Canis lupus familiaris: one gene and its partners. The protein of the gene in region 1 purifies or fractionates together with the protein of each later gene. This does not show direct contact. Links are inferred from orthologs where the notes say so. Each region holds a gene or a part of one and is shown in the gene's direction. Other genes may lie near its edges. The genes, in order: SF3B1, SNRNP200 and PRPF8.

Region 1 (6,505 bases):
TTTGAGACTCAAAAAAGCCAGCCTCCAAGTACCCCTGATAAGTAAAAGAATGGTGGTGCCTGGTTGGCTTAGTCAGTAGGGCATGCAACTCTTGATCTCAAGGTCATGAGTTCAAGTCCCATATTGGATGTAGAGCTTACTTCAAAAGGAATGGATTTTCCTTAGAAATTGGATGACAGGGCAGCTCTGGTGGCTCAGTGGTTTAGCGCCGCCTTCAGCCCAGGGTATGATCCTGGAGACCTGGGATGGAGTTCCACGTTGGGCTCCCTGCATGGCGCCTGCCTCTCTCTCTGTCTTCCGTGAGTAAATTAAAAAAAAAAAAAAAAAAAAAAAAAAGACATTGGATGACATCACTGTTAATTGTCTAGATTACAAAAGACCAGATCACCTTTTCTAATTTTTGAAACAAAAAGTTTCACCAGAAAAGGGCAGGAAATGTATTTTAAATGATATCTGAGTATTATTTATTAATATTGAAAGTGGAAAGTAAAAGGTACTTGTTGAAAAACTTACTTCCTGTCTGAATGTCCAAGTCATTGTTTTATTAAAGATAAATTAGTCTTTAGAAGACTAAAAGAAGGGAATCTCCTTTGGCAAATTTTCTCTTTCCTCACTATTCCATAGGGCCTTTGCCTTACAAAAGTTAACTTAAGGGCACCCCCGGTGGCACAGCGGTTTAGCGCCGCCTTCAGCCCGGGGTCTGATCCTGGAGACCCGGAATCGAGTCCCGTGTCGGGCTCCCTGCATGGAGCCTGCTTCTCCCTCTGCCTGTGTCTCTGCCTCTTGGTCTCTCTCTCTCTCTCTCTCTGAATAAATAAATTAAAAAAAAAAAACTTACAAAAGTTAACTTAATACCTAGTAACCTAGAGAAATATGCATGTAATAATACAAAGTGGCCAGCAGATGCAGCTTCTATCTTAGAATGAAAAGGACATGTGACACCTTTGCACATGCTTTTCATTTTTTTTTTTTTAAATATAGTTTATTTCTAGAAATCTGTACACCCAATGTGGGGCTCAAATTTACCACTGTGAGATTAAGAGTCGCATGTTCTTTCAACTGAGCTGGCCAGGCATTCCATCTTTTAATATATTCCTTTTGTGTATTATAAAAATGTGCTTATAGCAAAGTATCTGGAAAATACTAAAAATTATTTTTAAAGTTCATAATTTCACCAGTCATAGGCATCCACTATTAACACTTTGGTGAATTTCCTTTGCATATATTTTGACAGGACAGTGATTGTCTTGTATATACAAATTTACCTTTCTTCTTTTTTCTTTTTTTTCTTCCTATTTTTAAATAAGAGCCAAGAAATGCCATGTCCTTGTGATTCTTTTTGTCAACATGGATTTTTTTAGATTGTTGATTATTGATGGATCATAACACCCTTCTGTAATTCTTTATTTCCCATTCATCCTTTTTTCATTATTTTAAAACATGCTATTTTATATATATAAAAGAATATGTGCAATCTATGTGTAGGTTATAAACTATGTAAGGAATATCTGTGGGCACTCTGCCAATTCAACAACTAGAGTTTACCAATAATTCATAAAATTACATGTTCTTGGGACGCCTGCATGGCTCAGGGGTTGAGTGTCTGCCTTCAGCTCAGGTCGTGACCCCTGTGGTCCCTGGGATCCAGTCCCATGTCAGACTCCCTGCAGGGGGCCTACTTCTCCCTCTGCCTGTGTCTATCTCTCATGAATAAAATCTTTTTTTAAAAAAACAATCTACATGTTCTCTTAACCCTTTCCTCCCTCAACTATTGTTTAACCTAAATTAAAACAATTGAAAATTGAAAATTTTCTCTCATCAAATTGATTTTTTTCATTGATACTAAGTCCCATTTTTGTTACTAAAGTTTCTACTAAATACTCATGTTGTGATCCTGTTACACAGCCAGGCAAACGTTTTTGGTGATAGCTCTAACCTTAATCCTTACCTGTTTCCTTAGGCTGCTTCCTGTACCAACTTCCCCTCAAAGTTATGTTCTTTTTTAATCCTAAAGTCCAAGGCCAGTGTGGCAGTTCAAAATTATGCTTTTGTAATTGAGGAGTAGGCAAAAAAAAAAAAAGAAAAGCCATATTTGGAGCTTTTAAAAATTCCTGATTCAAGAGTGACATTTAGGATTAAGAGAGGCATTCCAGGGATCCCTCGGTGGCGCAGCGGTTTGGCGCCTGCCTTTGGCCCAGGGCGCGATCCTGGAGACCCGGGATCGAATCCCACGTCGGGCTCCCTGCATGGAGCCTGCTTCTCCCTCTGCCTGTGTCTCTGCCTCTCTCTCTTTCTCACTGTGTGTCTATCATAAATAAATAAATAAAAATTAAAAAAAAAAGAAAGGCATTCCATCAGTGTTAATGCTGACAGCCAGTGGTTTTCTAAGAACCTATGAAATTAAAAGGCTTTAAAAAAGGACGGCACAGTTCCTCCCGGGTAATTCAGTAAGGGTGTGACCTTGCATATTTTATTTACACCCCCGCCCTAGTTTTCCTCTCCTTTCTTAAATGGGATTAGCAACAACTCGCCCACTTTCCTGGGTTGTTTGTGAGGTACAACAGTGTCTGGAAATAATAATGTTGTGCACGAAACTCCTACCCAAATGGCAAGTAATTCTTTAAGAAGAAAGAAAAATGACCTTGAATTTCAGCGCGAAGGACGTGACTGGTGTGTGTCTCCACAACTACCCACTGCAGCCGCTGAGAGACGCCACAGGAGCTCTCGCCTGGCACCGACACACCTCCGCTCGACGTGGAGGACGAGAACTGACGGCCTGAGGCTTCGGACGGGCCTGAAATCCAGCGTCTCTCGCAGTGACTATCAGCGGGTCCTCGCACAACCCACTTCCCTCCAGAGCAGTCGCCGTCGCCCCCGCCCCCGCCCCCGCGTCAGGACTCGCTTAGCCCTCCTCCTCCCGCCACCGCGAAAACCGCCTCCGCGCCGGGCCCTGGCTCCTCCCCCTCCCCCACAATGCATCGCTCTGTTCCCTCTAGGCGGCTGCTCCGTCACGTGTCGCGCGGCGGCGCGCGCCCCCGCTTGGCGCACGCGCAGAGAGCATTCCCCAGCTATTTTTCTCCGTGGCAGCGGCGGCGAGCGGAAGTGCTGGGGAGCGCCAGTTCCGTCTGTGTGTTCGAGTGGACAAAATGGCGAAGATCGCCAAGACCCACGAAGGTAAGGCGTCTTCCCGTGCTCCCGCGTCTTCTCTGCTGCCAGCCTGCCAAGACTCGATTTTACTCGGTTTTTGCCTCGGCCTGTGGTTTCGTTGGTGGGGTGCCGCGCCCGCGCGTGGGGGCCCTGGTCGGCTCCTCGGCGCTAGCGGCGCAGGCCACTGCCCCACGTAATGGCGTCCTACTCCTCCACCGCGGGCAGGCGCTTTGTTCCGCGTTTGGGTCCTGTTCCTTCAGAGTTGCTTCTCTTTTCCGAGCGGAAGGCCTCGTTCAGACGGCTCGCCGGGGGGGAGGCCAGGGCCGCGAATCGGGGAAACGGGCGTGAAAGCCGGGAGTCGCCCTCGCCTCACGGAACTGTGGCGGGCGCAGTTCGTGCCCGGGGGAGTCGGGGGAGCCCGGGAACACGGCAGCCGCTTTTCGGCAGCGCCAACTCGAGCGTAGCCTGCTTGAGGCCCGTTCCTCTTCGTCTCGGCTAATCAGGCATCTAAAATACTTTTTTTTTTTTTTTTGTATGAAGTGATTTGGACATAAAATCTGGTAGTTTTTTCTTCCCGTGATCACTTGTATATTGGTGTTTGTTCCCCACCCCCCCCCCTTGGAGACTGATGATTGGTGGAAGAGGGAAAGGCACGTTATTATTCCCAGCGGTCAAAGCTTTCGAGGTACCTGATCGTTTTGTGGAATTCGGAGAACACGGAATTTAGGAAAATGCTGAGAATAAGCCGGAGTTCTTGAGGGAGTATCCAGTTTCCAGAAATGACAGGAAATAGGGTCACTTCAGAGAAGATGAGGCATGGGCATTGGGAGGCGCGTTCCTTAGGATTTTTTTTTTTTTTTTCTGACCTGGAATCTGAAGCGTTCGTCGAACGGGAGGCTTCCAGGAGTCATTTGTATTTTCACGGGTCGTTTCCAGGTGCTGGCTCCGTGTGAGTCCGAAGTAACAAAGAGTAAGGCCGTGCAAAGTTTTACAGGCTCCTGGGGAGACAGGTGTGTGTGTGTGTATACGTTTTCATTCTTTCATGAGGCAAATTAACGCTTAAATAGAAATACAGGCCGCATGTTCTGGGATTCTGGGTAACGGAGTGATTAATTCCTGCCTAGGTAGGACTCTTCCATAGAGGAGGTGACGTGTCCCTGGCCTAAACGGATCAATCCGTTTTAAATTAGGGGAGGACATTTGAGCCTGAGAGGACATCTTGTAACGAGGCAAGGAGTCCTGAAAAGTGTGTTTGAGTAGTGGACTGTGGCGCTGCAGGGAGGGAAAGTGTAGGCGAATCTGGAAAGGTTGGTTGGGACCAGGATGTGAATGCCCTGGAATAATTGTGTTCCCCGCCAGAACTGAAGTCCAGCTCTCTGCGACATGCTAATTAATGGGCAGTGACTTTAATACTCTTCTCGTTGTGGGGGTAGGTATTTAGGATTTATTTATTTATTTTATTATTATTTTTTATATTTTTTTATTTATTCATGAGATATTTTTTATTTTATATGAGATATATATTTTATTTTATTTATTTATTCATGAGAGACACAGAGAAAGAGAGGCAGAGACACAGGCAGAGGGAGAGGCAGGCTCCCCCACAGGGAGCCTGATGCGGGACTCGATCCCGGAACCCCAGGATCACGCCCAGGGCCAAAGGCAGGCACCAAGCCGCCGAGCCACCCGGGCTGCCCGGTATTTAGGATTTAAACACTGTTTTAGCCCTGAAGGTTGTTTAGGCACTTACTCTTCTGTCTTTAGACTAATCCGGATGTAACCTTTTGCAAAATAATTAGAAACTGAAGATGTTGCTCTTGTTTATTCAGGAGTAGGCTGTTCATTGGGGGCAGTTTGTGGCTTTGATCACTTGTTTGTTGATATTTTTAATCATAAAGATACTTTTGGACAGGGAAATCAAGGTTTGGATCAGGTTTCCTGCTTTTTTGAGACTCAATTAAAAGCTTTGGTCTATAGAAGATTGAAGTTGATTGGCCAAGTTTGCTTTTTTATTTGGAATCTTGCTACAGTATGAATTAACTGATGCTATAAAGAAAGTATAGCAGTATTCAGTTAACAACAGCACTGTGTATAAGACAGTCTGTCACTGTGAGTTTTTGGTAAAGGATGATCAATGTTTAGTGGAAATATGCATAATATTTACATAGAGATACTTTCCTAAAGATCTGGAATGGTTCATGGTGCATCTCTTCTCTTTTCCCTTAATAAGTCATCTCTGATAGCCTGGAGCAGATTTCTTGGTGGGTTTATTTATTTATTTATTTATTTATTTACTTACCTAGGTGCTACTGTAGCTCTTTATTATACTAGAATATTCTATTGTGTTAAGGTTTTTTAAAAAATATTTATTCATGAGAGAGAGAGAGAGAGGCAGAGACACAGGCAGAGGGAGAAGCAGGCTCCATGCAGGGAGCCTGACGTGGGACTCCATCCCGGGTCTCCAGGATCACGCACTGGGTGGAAGGCGGCGCCAAACTGCTGAGCCACCCGGGCTGCCCAAGGTTTTCTTATCCACGTTGAGACTGATGTGTACAGGAACTATTTCTTGGTATCCCCAGTACCTAATGCCTAATGAGTACTGAGTATTAACATTTATTGAGAGATTATATTGGAAATATTAAAAGTTTCACAGAAAGGGGCCGCTTAAACTCACTTTTGAATGATTGGGTAGGTTTGGATACATTGTTTGGCTGAGGTAGGTGGGAAGTAGGACTTGTTAATGTATTGGGAACCTTCTGCGCTGAGAGGAAGAAAGGTTTGCATCAAATTAAAGAAAGCTTTGAACTCTAAGTTAGGCTTGACTTGGCTTTCCAGTGACTACAGAATAAAGTACCTACTTCTCCCAGGTGACAAGTTATTTCTGCATTTTGGGAAAGTCTTTAGTTGCAGTGTTGAAGAGTGGCAGTAAGAGCAGCAATTCTTAAGCTAGGCTTGAGTTTGAACCTCACTGTAGTAACTTTAAAAATGTATATTCTTTGATTTTTGTTTTAGAGTTGTCCATCATCATGTGGTGTGTGTGTGGTTTTTTTAAGCTATGGTCTTTTTTTTTTTTTTTAAGATTTTATTTGAGAAAGGGAATAAGAGACAGAGGGAGCACAAACTGCACAAACGGGGAGAAGCAGAGGATAAGGGAGAAGCAGACTCCCCACTGAACAGGAAGCTGTAATGTGGGCTCAACCCCAAAATTATGACCTGAGCTGAAGGCTGACGCTCAACTGACTGAGCCACCCAGGCACCCCATCTTGTTGCTTTTTTAAGAAGATTATATAATCTTTTTATCCTAAGTAATATTGCTAGTAAGGAGTTTTCTTTGTTGTATTTTTTTCTTTGTTGTATT
Region 2 (6,405 bases), on another chromosome or scaffold:
GCTGAACATAGAACCTACACTTCTATCTTTAGGGTTAGCCCTTGGTGCTGAATTGTTGAACATCTACTTTTGAAATCCCTGTGCTATGCATTGTCCTCTTTTTTAAGAGGAAAGTTTTTTTTTTTTTTTTTTTTTTTAAGATTTTATTCATTTGAAAGAATATGTATACATGTGGGGAGAGGGGCAGAGGGAGAAGGACAAGAGACTCCCTGCTGAGCGGGGAGCTTGATGCGGGCCCCTGTCTCAGGAACCTGAGACCACGACTTGACCCGAAGTCAGATGCCTGACTGAGCCACCCAGGTGCCCCTGCATTGCCCCTTTACTTTTTTTATTTTAATTAAAAAAATATTTATTTATTAATGAGAGACACAGAGAGAGAGGCAGAGACACAGGCAGAGGGAGAAGCAGGCTCCATGCAAGGAGCCCATTGTGGGGCTCGAACCTGGGAATCCGGGATCACGCCCTGATCCAAAGGCAAGCACTTAACTGCTGAGCCACTCAGGTGTCCCCGTTGTCCCTTTAAAACTGCTTGCTTCCATCATTCTGGTGGTCCCGATGGCAGATGTCTGAACATAAAGGACGGTCTTTCTAGTTTGGGACTTACTGGTCAGCACCCATGAGTCAAGCTTAGTTAAGCAGAGACCAAAAGGGACCAGAACCTTCAATGGTGATGGATTGTTATTCTTTGGGCCTTTCTCTGTTACAGGAGGAAAGGTCCCGGAGAGAGCGAGTGCGTCAGTCCCGGATGGACACAGACTTGGAAACCATGGATCTGGACCAGGGTGGAGAGGTAGGTCTTGGGTTCATTTCCAAGGTGGTGCTAGATGGAAAAAGCTCATTTGTTCACCTTGCTCACTTTGGGTTTTTGTTTTTCATACTCCTAGGCACTGGCTCCACGGCAGGTTCTGGACTTGGAGGACCTGGTTTTTACCCAGGGGAGCCACTTCATGGCCAATAAACGTTGTCAGCTTCCTGATGGGTCCTTCCGGCGCCAGCGCAAGGGCTATGAAGAGGTGCATGTGCCTGCTCTGAAGCCCAAGCCCTTTGGTTCCGAAGAAGTGAGTGAATTGCTTTTCTCCATTTTCTTTGTTTTCACTTCTCTTCCAGTTTGGATTTCAACCCATTGGCCAAAATGTGATCTTGCTTCATAGTTTTTCCCTGATGTGGAAGCTGTTTCAGAGTTTTCCCACTTTGTGAGCCTAGGGGACAGTGGAGAGTGACACAGGGAGGGTGCCAGGAAGTGCAGTCCTGGCTGTCCCACAAAAACAGCTTGCTCAAGGATGCTGCCAGCAGAATGTGAATGGCATTTTTCTCTCTCTCTCATTCATTCATTCATTCATTTTTAAAGATTTTATTTATTTATTCATGAGAGATACAGAAGGAGAGAGGCAGAGAGAGAAGCAGGCTCCATGCAGGTTGCCCAGTGCGGGACTCGATCCTGGAACTCCAGGATCATGCTCCGAGCTGAAGGCAGTCGCTCAACCGCTGAGCCACCCAGGCATCCTTGTTTCTCTCTTTTAGCAACTGCTTCCAGTGGAGAAGCTCCCGAAGTATGCCCAGGCTGGATTTGAGGGCTTCAAAACATTAAATCGGATCCAGAGTAAACTCTACCGTGCTGCTCTGGAGACAGATGAGAATCTGCTGCTGTGCGCCCCTACTGTAAGCACTGCCCTGGCTGCTTTGTTCTTGTGGAAAGTGGTGTATGTTTTTGATGGCAAGATTGTTCATCTTCACCCATATGCTACCCCCTGCCCCCCCACCGGAGTTCTTTCTTTGATGGAAGAGATGTTAAATGGTAGGATATCCTACCATCCCAGGACATGCTCTAGTGTCTGTTTTGGTGATAAGCCTGTGGTAGTGAGGGCGGGTAAGCAGACCTTCTCATCCTCAACTTCTGTCTTAGGGTGCAGGTAAGACCAACGTGGCCCTGATGTGCATGCTCCGAGAGATAGGGAAGCACATTAACATGGATGGCACCATCAACGTGGATGACTTCAAGATTATCTACATTGCTCCCATGCGGTCTCTAGTGCAGGAGATGGTGGGCAGTTTTGGAAAGGTAAGGGGTAGAGAGATACTGGGAGTGGGGGTTAGATCATTCCTGGGATGCCTCATCCAGTGGTTTTCTTCCACTTCAAGGTGGAACTTGACCCGAGTTCAGAGTGTTACTGGAGCAAGAATGTCTTGCACCTGTCTTGGACTTTTACAAGGATTTAGCATCTTTTTTTAATTCTTTCCATAGCAGTATTCTGTAGTTGTAATAATTGATGTTATTGAAGAATTTATGAAACACTCACAAGATGTGGTTGATAATAGATCTGGTGGTATTATTCCAGGTCCTGTTATCTACAGGTTTCCATTCCCCCTTGTGTGCAGAAGTCCCAGACATCCTCTGTCTGCTTCATTTGCCTTAGTGTGAACTTGATTTGTTTTAGATATATGCGCTTGTATGATCAATCTAATTCGTTTGATATTTCTCTGTTGGGTTGATACCTCCTTCCAGTATCCTACTCTGAGACTTCCCAAAGTGCGATAGCAAGGCCCCTTTGCAGTGTTTTTGATTGACCTGCCTCTCCTTCACCTAGCGCCTGGCCACCTATGGCATCACTGTTGCAGAATTGACTGGTGACCACCAGCTGTGCAAGGAGGAGATCAGCGCCACTCAGATCATCGTTTGCACCCCCGAGAAGTGGGACATCATTACCCGCAAGGGTGGGGAGCGCACATACACCCAGCTTGTACGGCTTATCATTCTGGTGAGCAGGGAGTACTTGGGGACATAGAGGCCAGGCCTGGTTGAGAAGGGTTTGCTGGAATTTTTGTTTGTTTTTTTTAAAGATTTATTTATTAGAGAGCAAGTGATGGGAGGAGGGGGGTGTTGGGGGTGAGTTGGGGGGAGGCAGGGGGCAGATGGAGAGAATCCATACTCTCTTCACTGAGTGTGGAGCCTGCCATGGGGCCTGATCTCACCACATTCCCTGAGATCATGACCTGAGCCATCCACATGCCCCTGGTTTGCTGGCTTTTATTGGTGACCATTTTTTCAGTGCTTTCCTCCAGTCACTAGCCTGTATAATGACAGCCGTTATCAGCATTGCTGTAATCATTAAATGAGAAAATGCATCTAATTGAAATAGTTCTGAGGAGGTGCATGGTGTTTGCCACGTTCCTTGCTCTTCATAGCTTTTTTTTTTTTTTTATCTGAAATATTTTAAAACAAATGTAAACAGACATAACTAATTGTGTCTTCCCAGGACATTAAAGGGCTTCATAAATAAATAATCCATTCTCAGACAGAGTGAGTTAAGGAATCAGGATATTGTGTTCCATACATGCAGAAGCACCCAGGCAAAAATGACTTTGAGTCTGAGTGTAGTTTCTTTAAGTTGTCTAGAGAACAGGACGGAGGTCTTGTACGTAGATTTTCAATATCCTAGAGCAGGAGTTGGCAATCTGCAGCTACTGGTTTTGGACTATAGCCATACCCATTTATTTATGTATGGTTTACAGTTGCTTTTGTGCTGCAGTTACAGAAGTAAGTACAGTGGACTCTTGAACAACACAGGCTTGAACTCCATGGGTCCACTTATATATGGATTTAAAAAAAAATAAATATAGTGCCATACTGTAAACGTGTTATTCATACTTTTTTTTTTTTTTTTTAAGATTTTATTTATTCATTCATGAGAGACACAGAGAGAGAGGCAGAGACACAGGCAGAGGGAGAAGCAGGCTCCATGCAGGGAGCCTGACATGGGACTCGATCCCAGGTCTCCAGGATTTGCCCTAGGCTGAAGGCGGCATTAAACCTCTGAGCCACCTGGAGCTGCCCATATTTATACTTTTATACTTCTAATAACATTATTTTAGTTTATTGTAAGAATACAAGTATATAAAATGTATATGGAATGTGTGTTCGCCAACTGTTTATGTTATTGTAAGACTTCTGGTAAAGAGTAGGCTATTTGTAGTTAAGTTTTGGGAGAATTGAAGTTATAAGCAGATTCTCGACTATGTAGGACACCCCTAACTCCTGCATTGTACAGGGGTCAGTTTTATTTGTAGCAGAGACTGTATGGCTTACAATCCTAAAATACTGATTGTCTGCCCCCCCCCCCTTTTTTTTAAGGTTTATTTACTCAAGAGAGACACAGAGGGGGCAGAGACATAGGAAGAGGGAGAAGCAGGCTCCCTGCAGGGAGTCTGATGCAGGACTTGATCCTAGGACCTTGGGATCACAACCTGAGCCAAAGGCTGAACCACTGAGCTACCCAGGTGTCCCTGATTGGCCCTTTATGAAGTTTGTCAACCCCCGCTTTGGAGCCTCACTATTCAAAGTCTTTAATAAGTGCAGAGTCCCTGGCCCCATCCCACACCTACTGAAATATAATCTTTTTATTGATTTATTTTAAGATATTAATTAATTGATTTATTGAGAAAGAGTGTGAGCCAGGGGAGGGGCAGAGGGAGAGAGAGAGAATCTCAGACTCCACGCTGAGTGCAGAGCCCCACGTTGGGCTTGATCTCTGGACCCTGAGCTCATGACCTGAGCTGGAATCAAGAATTTGGTGCTTAACTAAACTACTCAGGTACCCCACAATCTGCTTTTTAGTAAGATCCCATGCTGCATACTGAAATTTAAGAAGCATTACCTTAGGATATGCGAGCTCATCATTTGATTCATGATATCTTTTGCAAGTACAAAGTAGTAAGGATAACTGCCCAGAGGTGAAACCTTCTTTGATATAAATATGATCTGCTTAGAAGCTTCATTTTTAGTAAAGAAATGTCTTTTTTTTTTTTTTTTAAGATTTTATTTATTCATGAGAGACATAGAGGCAAAGACACAGGTAGAGCGAGGCTCCCTGTGGGGAGCCTGATAAGGGACTTGATCCCAGGACCCTGGAATCATGACCCAAGCCAAAGGCAGATGCTCAGCCACTGAGCTACCCAAGAAATTTGTCTTTGAGTGAAGTGATGAACTCATTTACCTGAAGTATTAGATTTTCTTGCCATTAAGCATATGTTTCACTAAATTAGCAATGCAGCTCTCAGTGGTTACAGGAGAATATTTTCCAGGGTATTTCACAGTGAATGTTGTCCCACCCTTTGGGTTTCTCTTGCCTGCTCTTTTCTTCTTTATTTGGCATATGAGGTATATACCACAAAATGGGACTATTTTCAGGAAAGAGGACCACATTTTTCTAGTCCTGGAGATAATTTGTAGCCCCTTCATTACTTAGGATGAGATCCATCTCCTCCACGATGACAGAGGTCCTGTCTTAGAAGCTTTGGTGGCCAGGGCCATCCGAAACATTGAGATGACTCAGGAGGATGTCCGACTCATTGGTCTAAGTGCTACCCTCCCCAACTATGAAGACGTGGCTACCTTCCTGCGTGTGGATCCTGCCAAGGGCCTCTTTTACTTCGACAATAGGTATGAGAGAAGATGGGAGAAATTTAACCAGGGTGACCTTCCTGCTGCCCTATCCCCCTTTCAGGGAGCTTTGTTGGATTGGGTATTAGAAGGGTCTTTGGGTTTGGTTTCTTTCTTTCTTTCTTTCTTTTTTTATTTTTTCAAGTCCCATATTGGGCTCCCTGCGAGGAGCCTGCTTCTCCCTCTGCTTATGTCTCTGCCTCTCTCAGCCTATGTCTTTCATGAATAAATAAGATTTATTAAAGATTTCTTAAAAAAAAAAAGATTTTATTTACTCATGAGAGAGACAGAGAGAGAGAGAGGCAGAGACACAGGCAGAGGGAAAAGCAGGCTCCATGCAGGGAGCCCGATGTGGGACTTGATCCTGGGACTCCAGGATCATGCCTTGGGCCGAAGGCAGGTGCTAAACCACTGAGCCACACAGGTGTCCCGGTCTTTGAGTTTTGATGTGGTGTGAATCTAGAAAGGAATGTCGTTCCTGGGCAGCAAATATGACTGTTTATTTCCTCAGTATTCTGTGCTAGAAGCCTAATATGTTTAACTATTGAACTTCTAGCTTCCGCCCAGTGCCCCTGGAACAGACTTATGTGGGTATCACAGAGAAAAAAGCTATCAAGCGTTTCCAGATCATGAATGAAATAGTCTATGAGAAGATTATGGAACATGCTGGAAAAAATCAGGTCTGTCTGTGGTTTCTTGTTGAACTCTGTTCTTGACTTTTTGTAGTGTTTTGTTTTTAAAGATTTTATTTATTTATTCATGAGAGACAGAGACACAGGCAGAGGGAGAAGCAGGCTCCATGCAGGGAGCCTGATGTGGGTCTCGATCCCGGATCCTGGGATCACGCCTTGAGCCGAAGGCAGACGCTGAGCCACCCAGGTGTTCTTGACTTTTTGGTTTATAATCAGGCAATATCGACAAAAATAAAAAAGAGAGGATACAACACAGATCACCAGTATTAGGAATGA
Region 3 (6,505 bases), on another chromosome or scaffold:
CACAGGCAGAGGGAGAAGCAGGCTCCATGCAGGAAGCCCAATATGGGACTCAATCCCAGGACTCTGGGATTGCACCCTGAGCCAAAGGCAGACACTCAACCACTGAGCCACCCAGGCATCCTGATATTGGTGCTTTTAACAAAACTATAGACTATGCTAGGATATTACCAGGGTTTATTTTTTATTTTTTTTACAGAATATTTATATTTTTATTTAAATATTTTTTTAATTTATGATAGTCACACACAGAGAGAGAGAGAGAGAGGCAGAGACACAGGCAGAGGGAGAAGCAGGTTCCATGCACCAGGAGCCCGACGTGGGATTCGATCCCAGGTCTCCAGGATCGCGTCCTGGGCCAAAGGCAGGCGCCAAACCACTGCACCACCCAGGGATCCCCTATTACCAGGGTTTAGAACAATACCTAGCACAAGTTCACAGAAGTGAACCTTATACAAATTGAAGAACTTCATGACAATGACGAACATAATAATGATGATGGTGGAATTTCTACTGCTGCCAGGCTGATTGGCTGTTTTCAGAGCATGCCATATTGGTTCTTCTTTCTAAACTCCCAACTCTAGCAGTTCCCACCACCTGGGGTTCCTTTTTCCTTCCACTTTCTTTATCCCTGATGGGATAAATCCTCCACATCCACCCATTTCCATCAAATCTTTACTAATGCTCCTCTCCTTTCTGTGACCTGTGTGAACCTCCACACCAGCCAGCCCTTGCCTGAACTCCCCTTTGCATTTTTCTCTAATTATTTCACTTTTGAGTCCTAAATTCTCAACTAGATTGAGAGGGTGTGTGGGTTATAATTCCTCTGCATCCTCCACAATAAACTGTGTGAATTCAAACAAACTTACCTGTTGACTAAGATTTAAAGTTGTTGGGATGGAATAAGACATAGAAAGTGGAACAAGGATGGCAGGATATCAGCGCAATTCAGGCAGCAAGACATAGGCAGAGCCTCAAAGAAACGAGAAGCATTTATAAGGTGTCCACTATATACTCCATAATGTAATCACTGCCAGAGAGAAGAGGAATGGAGAGGGAGAGGTAAGGACACCGAGCAATTCTGTTCCCTACGGCTTCTTTATTTTTCTAAGTTCATTTTCTATTTTTTAAAAAAGATTTTATTTATTTATTCATGAGACACACACACACAGAGGCAGAGAGAGAAATCAGGCTCCATTCAGGGATCCTGATGTGGGACTCGATTCCGGGTCTCCAGGATCACACCCTGGGCCAAAGGCGGCGCTAAACCGCTGAGCCATCCGAGTTGCCCTAAGTTCATATTCTAACCCTTTGACTTCACAGCCAGGGTTAAATGCCCTACCCCAAATTCTCATCACATTGCATTGTAAGATTTTGGGTTACTTTTTTTTTTTTTAAGATTTTATTTATTTAATCATGAAAGACAGAGACAGAGAGAGGCAGAGACACAGGCAGAGGGAGAAGCAGGCTCCATGCAGGGAGTCTGACGAGGGACACGAACCCGGGTCTCCAGGATCACGCCCTGGGCTGAAAGGCAGCGCTAAACAGCTGAGCCACCCGGGCTGCCTAGATTTTGGGTTACTTGACCTCCCCGCCTCTCTATGAGCTCCAGGAGCTTGGCTTTCTCCCCTGCTGCAATTCCAATCCCTAATGCATACTGAACACTCAGTAAATGATGGCTTGATGAATGAATGTATGAACGAAGAAAAGGACTGATGGACTCGGAGCTCGCAGACCTCAAGTCTACATTTGTGAACGTAGACACAGTGTAATGTGCAGATTTTAACAAATTTGTTTTTCAAAAATAGGGTCTTCGGGATCCCTGGGTGGCGCAGTGGTTTAGCGCCTGCCTTTGGCCCAGGGCGCGATCCTGGAGACCCGGGATCGAATCCCATGTCGGGCTCCCGGTGCATGGAGCCTGCTTCTCCCTCTGCCTGTGTCTCTGCCTCTCTCTCTCTCTCTGTGACTATCATAAATAAATAAATTAAAAAAAATTTTGAAAAAAAAAAAAAAAATAGGGTCTTTGCCTGATAGGACATCAGTTGCTGACTGGAAGGCGAGGTCCCTTTACTCCAGGTCTCTAAGGCAGCCTGAAAAAAGCGGGAGGCGGGGCTAGCGCCTACCGGACTCCACCCTCTTGCGTTCTAAGCTTTCCGCCTATGGACCCGCCCCCTCTGGCCCCGTCGGCGCTTGTACACGTATTCTAATTGGTGAGCTCTCTAATCCGTCTGAGCACACGGGCGCCTATTGGGTCAACTGCTGAACAAGAGTTGCGTACTTCCCGGCGTTGGGAACGCGCGACAGACGTAGGAGTGCCGCCATTGCGCTGCGAAGAAAGCGGCCGTCTGTGTGAGGGCCTGTGGGGGTGCGTGGTGGGCTTCAAGGGCTGGGCCGCGGGAGGCGTGTGGGGTCGGGCTGGACGGCCGGGACGTCGGGATGGGCCGGACTGGACGTACTCTGAGCACAGCGGGACTGCAGACCGCGGTGTCGGCGCGTTCCTGCTGGGCTCGAGCGCCGCTTCTCGTTACATTTTTTCTTTCTCTGTCCCCCAGACTCTCCGGGAATGGCTGGAGTATTTCCTTACCGAGGGCCGGGTAACCCGGTGCCCGGCCCTCTAGCCCCATTGCCGGACTACATGTCGGAGGAGAAGCTGCAAGAGAAAGGTGAAGAACGCGTGCGGGAGGGCGCCTGTGGGCCCGGCGGCTTAGGGCGGCTGTGCGCGTGCGCGCAGCGGGTTTGCCTCCTTAACTCGTTTTGGCAAGTGTCAGAGCATTAGGTGTCAACTCACCTTTGGCTCCTTTTGTCATCTAATTAAGTGTGCAGAGGTGTCTGTTATTTGCAGGCAGTGAAAAAAAAAACCAAAACAAAACTTAAGAATCTGTAAAAAAAAAAAAAGTCAGACAATCATAAATGTGATAAAGGAAAATAAAGCACAGTGAGATAAGAGACTTGGCAAAGAGTGCTCCTGTTCTACGCCCACCCCTAACTCCTATATCCTGACAGGGGCTTACCCTGTGGCAAGACATGGGACTGATTCAACTAAGAGTGTGCAGTTATTTAAACTGAGGTGTCGGGATCCCTGGGTGGCGCAGCGGTTTGGCGCCTGCCTTTGGCCCAGGGCACGATCCTGGAGACCCGGGATCGAATCCCACGTCTGCCTCCCGGTGCATGGAGGCTGCTTGTCCCTCTGCTTATGTCTCTGCCTCTTTCTCTCTCTCTCTCTGTGACCATCATAAATAAAAAATAAAAATAAATAAATAAAAAATAAATAAATAAACTGAGGTGTCTTTGTAGCCCGAAAATGGCAGCAATTACAGGCCAAGCGCTATGCAGAAAAGCGAAAGTTTGGATTTGTGGATGCTCAGAAAGAAGACATGCCCCCAGAACACGTTAGGAAGATCATTCGAGACCATGGAGACATGACCAACAGGAAGTTTCGCCATGACAAAAGGGTTTACTTGGGGTAAGGAACCTCTTGGAATTCTTTCATTCCCAACTTTGGTCCCTCTTCCTTATCCTTGTCCCATAGGTTGCAGTCCTGGATAGCTGCTCTGTCATTTTGGGACAGGAATCCTCTATGACACCCCATCTCGGTGGTTATAAAAAAAGAGAGAGAGAGGAAAAAAAACTAGGATTCTGTGATAACTTTCAGATCTTTAGTTATTCTCTTGATTGCCCTGAGTTTTTTTCTTGACCTGACATTAATTTGTCCTGTTGGAGCTATAAGATGCCCGTCTTTGAATGGGTTGAAACCCATAATAGGACACTACATTCTTGTTGCCTTTAACTTAGCAGTGACTAGTCCTGAGGTTCAGGATATTTAATTCGTGAGGCTTCTATGCTCTTTTCTGTGGCCCCAAGCTGAGTGAATACATGTATAAGTGCCTTAGTAAATCTCTTTTCCATTTGGACAGGAAAACGTTAGCCACTTAATAAACTGTTGTAATATTGTCGTTAAGAAGAAAAACAAAGGGACACCTGAGTGGCTCAGTTGGGCGTCTGCCTTCGGCTCAGGTCATGATTCCGGGGTCCTGGGATGGAACCCCACATTGGGCTTCCGGCTCAGCGGGGGGCCTGCTTGTGCTGTCTCTCATGTTCTATCTCAAATAAATCTTTAAAAAAGGAGCCATAGATGTTTGTTTATAAAAAATATTATTTTGAAAGCTGTGGTAGGTGCTAGGGATATAGCAATGAATAGGCAGTAATGGCCTTTCTGGATCTTACAGTCTAGTGGCCTGACAGATGTGGGAAAGATGGGTATAATGATGAGTATTTTATGATGAATATTTCATTATTACTTATAGGAAGATAGTATAGAATGTGTAATAGCTCAAAAGCTGTCTTTAGAGGGACAGTTGTTGATACAGAGGGACAGAAACCCAATATTGGAACTGTGCAGTTTAAGAGGAAGACTGGCACAATTGCAGAGGGAGAGACAGGATTCCTGTATGCTAAGTTTGGACTGTAAGGCAGACTTTTCTGTGGAATGTGGTACTATGACACCATGTGGCTTCTCTGCATGGCACAGGTAACAACAGCTTTGTCATTTATAATCTTCTCTCTCCCTAATGTTGCAGTGCCCTGAAATACATGCCCCATGCAGTCCTCAAACTGCTGGAGAACATGCCTATGCCTTGGGAGCAGATTCGGGATGTACCTGTGCTGTACCACATCACTGGAGCCATTTCTTTTGTCAATGAGATTCCCTGGGTCATTGAGCCTGTCTACATCTCCCAGTGGGGGTGAGAAGGGCTAGAATATGGTTGTTGTTGATGGTGGGGGTGCTGGTTGGGGGCAGCGGGTAGAAACCATAGTGTGAAATTGCTGGCTTTTAGGTCAATGTGGATTATGATGCGTCGAGAAAAAAGAGACAGAAGGCATTTCAAGAGGATGCGTTTCCCCCCTTTTGATGATGAGGAGCCACCTTTGGACTATGCTGACAATATCTTGGATGTTGAACCACTGGAGGCCATTCAGCTAGAGCTGGACCCTGAAGAGGATGCTCCTGTGTTGGACTGGTTTTATGACCACCAGCCATTGAGGGATAGTCGGAAGTGAGTGATGGTTGGAGTTATCACTCCTGTGAAAGTTTTGGAAGGCCAGGAGTCCTGGGTGAGCAATAGACAGAATGGCTTGGCTACCTGACATAGGCCTGTCTTTTTTCCCTAGGTACGTGAATGGTTCCACTTACCAGCGCTGGCAGTTCACACTGCCCATGATGTCCACTCTATACCGCTTGGCCAATCAGCTCCTGACAGACTTGGTAGATGATAACTACTTCTATCTCTTTGATCTGAAAGCCTTCTTCACGTCCAAGGCACTCAATATGGCCATTCCTGGAGGCCCCAAATTTGAACCTCTTGTTCGAGACATCAACCTCCAGTAAGTTGGAGATACTAGGGATTATAGGCACCTCGGATTGAGTAAAATCTAATCTTGATCCTTGAGATGCCATTGTAGTTTCCAAACTCCCCAACTAGTCTGCTCATCCTTGATAATGTACCCTAGGGATGAAGACTGGAATGAATTCAACGATATTAACAAGATCATCATCCGGCAGCCTATCCGCACTGAATACAAGATTGCTTTTCCCTATCTGTACAACAACCTTCCACACCATGTCCACCTTACCTGGTGAGAGCTAGAGCAAAGGGGGAGAGGGGGGAGAGGATATTGGGCCAGGGCAGGAGAACCTGAGTTTATTACTCTTCCTTTATTTTAGGTACCACACTCCTAATGTTGTGTTCATCAAAACTGAGGATCCTGATCTCCCAGCTTTCTACTTTGATCCTTTGATCAACCCAATTTCTCACAGGCACTCTGTCAAGGTAAGACCTTAGTTCTTTTTTCTTTTTTTTTAAGATTTTATTTATTCATGAGAGAGAGAGAGAGAGAGAGAGAGAGAGGCAGAAACACAGGCAGAGGGAGAAGCAGGCTTCATGCAGGGAGCCTGATATGGGACTCCATCCCAGGTCTCCAGGTTCAGGCCCTGGGCTGAAGACGGCGCTAAACCACTGAGTCACCCGGGCTACCAAGATCTTAGTTCTTTGAAGAGAAATTTGCTGACTGTAGCTGAAGTGTTACTAAATAAAAATTGAACTACCTATTTAGTGTTCCCTTTGAGCTTTGATATGTCAGTAAAGTGCTTGGTTTAAACTAAGTTATTTGTATAATCTGGGTTTTTGTGATTGGGACTTTCCATATAGTAATTTCAGGGCTGTTTGCATTATGAATTTTTTCCAATCCTTTTATTAGATATATTTATTAGTTCACATACCGTACAACTCACCCATTTAAAGTTTATAATTCAGTGGTATTTAGTTTATTCACAGAGTAGTTTAGCTATATCCACAGACAATTTTCCAACCTTTTCATCATCCCAGAAATTCCCATACCATTAGCAGTCGCTGTTTCCCTCCCCTAGTCAACTCCTAGTCTTTCTGTAGATTTGCCTCTTCTGGAGGTTTCATATAAATGGGATCTTTCAGTATGTGGTCTTTTGTGATTG

What was found.
Region 2: the proteins of SF3B1 (region 1) and SNRNP200 purify together in Homo sapiens (co-immunoprecipitation; 4 studies listed by BioGRID and IntAct, with this or other methods). This does not show direct contact. The link is inferred for Canis lupus familiaris from reciprocal best matches to the Homo sapiens genes SF3B1 and SNRNP200.
Region 3: the proteins of SF3B1 (region 1) and PRPF8 purify together in Homo sapiens (affinity purification with mass spectrometry; 5 studies listed by BioGRID and IntAct, with this or other methods). This does not show direct contact. The link is inferred for Canis lupus familiaris from reciprocal best matches to the Homo sapiens genes SF3B1 and PRPF8.

The regions. Positions count from the first base shown.
Region 1 is NC_049258.1:6,838,453-6,844,957, reverse strand, and holds the start of SF3B1 (splicing factor 3B subunit 1), read left to right. Parts: upstream 1-3,015; 5' UTR 3,016-3,146; coding exon 3,147-3,174; intron 3,175-6,505. UniProt on the Homo sapiens protein: Component of the 17S U2 SnRNP complex of the spliceosome, a large ribonucleoprotein complex that removes introns from transcribed pre-mRNAs.
Region 2 is NC_049238.1:34,656,895-34,663,299, forward strand, and holds part of SNRNP200 (U5 small nuclear ribonucleoprotein 200 kDa helicase), read left to right. Parts: intron 1-706; coding exon 707-790; intron 791-884; coding exon 885-1,058; intron 1,059-1,521; coding exon 1,522-1,659; intron 1,660-1,903; coding exon 1,904-2,059; intron 2,060-2,585; coding exon 2,586-2,756; intron 2,757-5,243; coding exon 5,244-5,437; intron 5,438-5,993; coding exon 5,994-6,117; intron 6,118-6,405. UniProt on the Homo sapiens protein: Catalyzes the ATP-dependent unwinding of U4/U6 RNA duplices, an essential step in the assembly of a catalytically active spliceosome. Plays a role in pre-mRNA splicing as a core component of precatalytic, catalytic and postcatalytic spliceosomal complexes.
Region 3 is NC_049230.1:45,769,129-45,775,633, reverse strand, and holds the start of PRPF8 (pre-mRNA-processing-splicing factor 8), read left to right. Parts: upstream 1-2,212; 5' UTR 2,213-2,362; exon of another isoform or gene 2,363-2,549; 5' UTR 2,550-2,560; coding exon 2,561-2,660; exon of another isoform or gene 2,661-2,705; intron 2,706-3,291; coding exon 3,292-3,460; intron 3,461-4,574; coding exon 4,575-4,739; intron 4,740-4,832; coding exon 4,833-5,051; intron 5,052-5,166; coding exon 5,167-5,379; intron 5,380-5,505; coding exon 5,506-5,631; intron 5,632-5,719; coding exon 5,720-5,825; intron 5,826-6,505. UniProt on the Homo sapiens protein: Plays a role in pre-mRNA splicing as core component of precatalytic, catalytic and postcatalytic spliceosomal complexes, both of the predominant U2-type spliceosome and the minor U12-type spliceosome.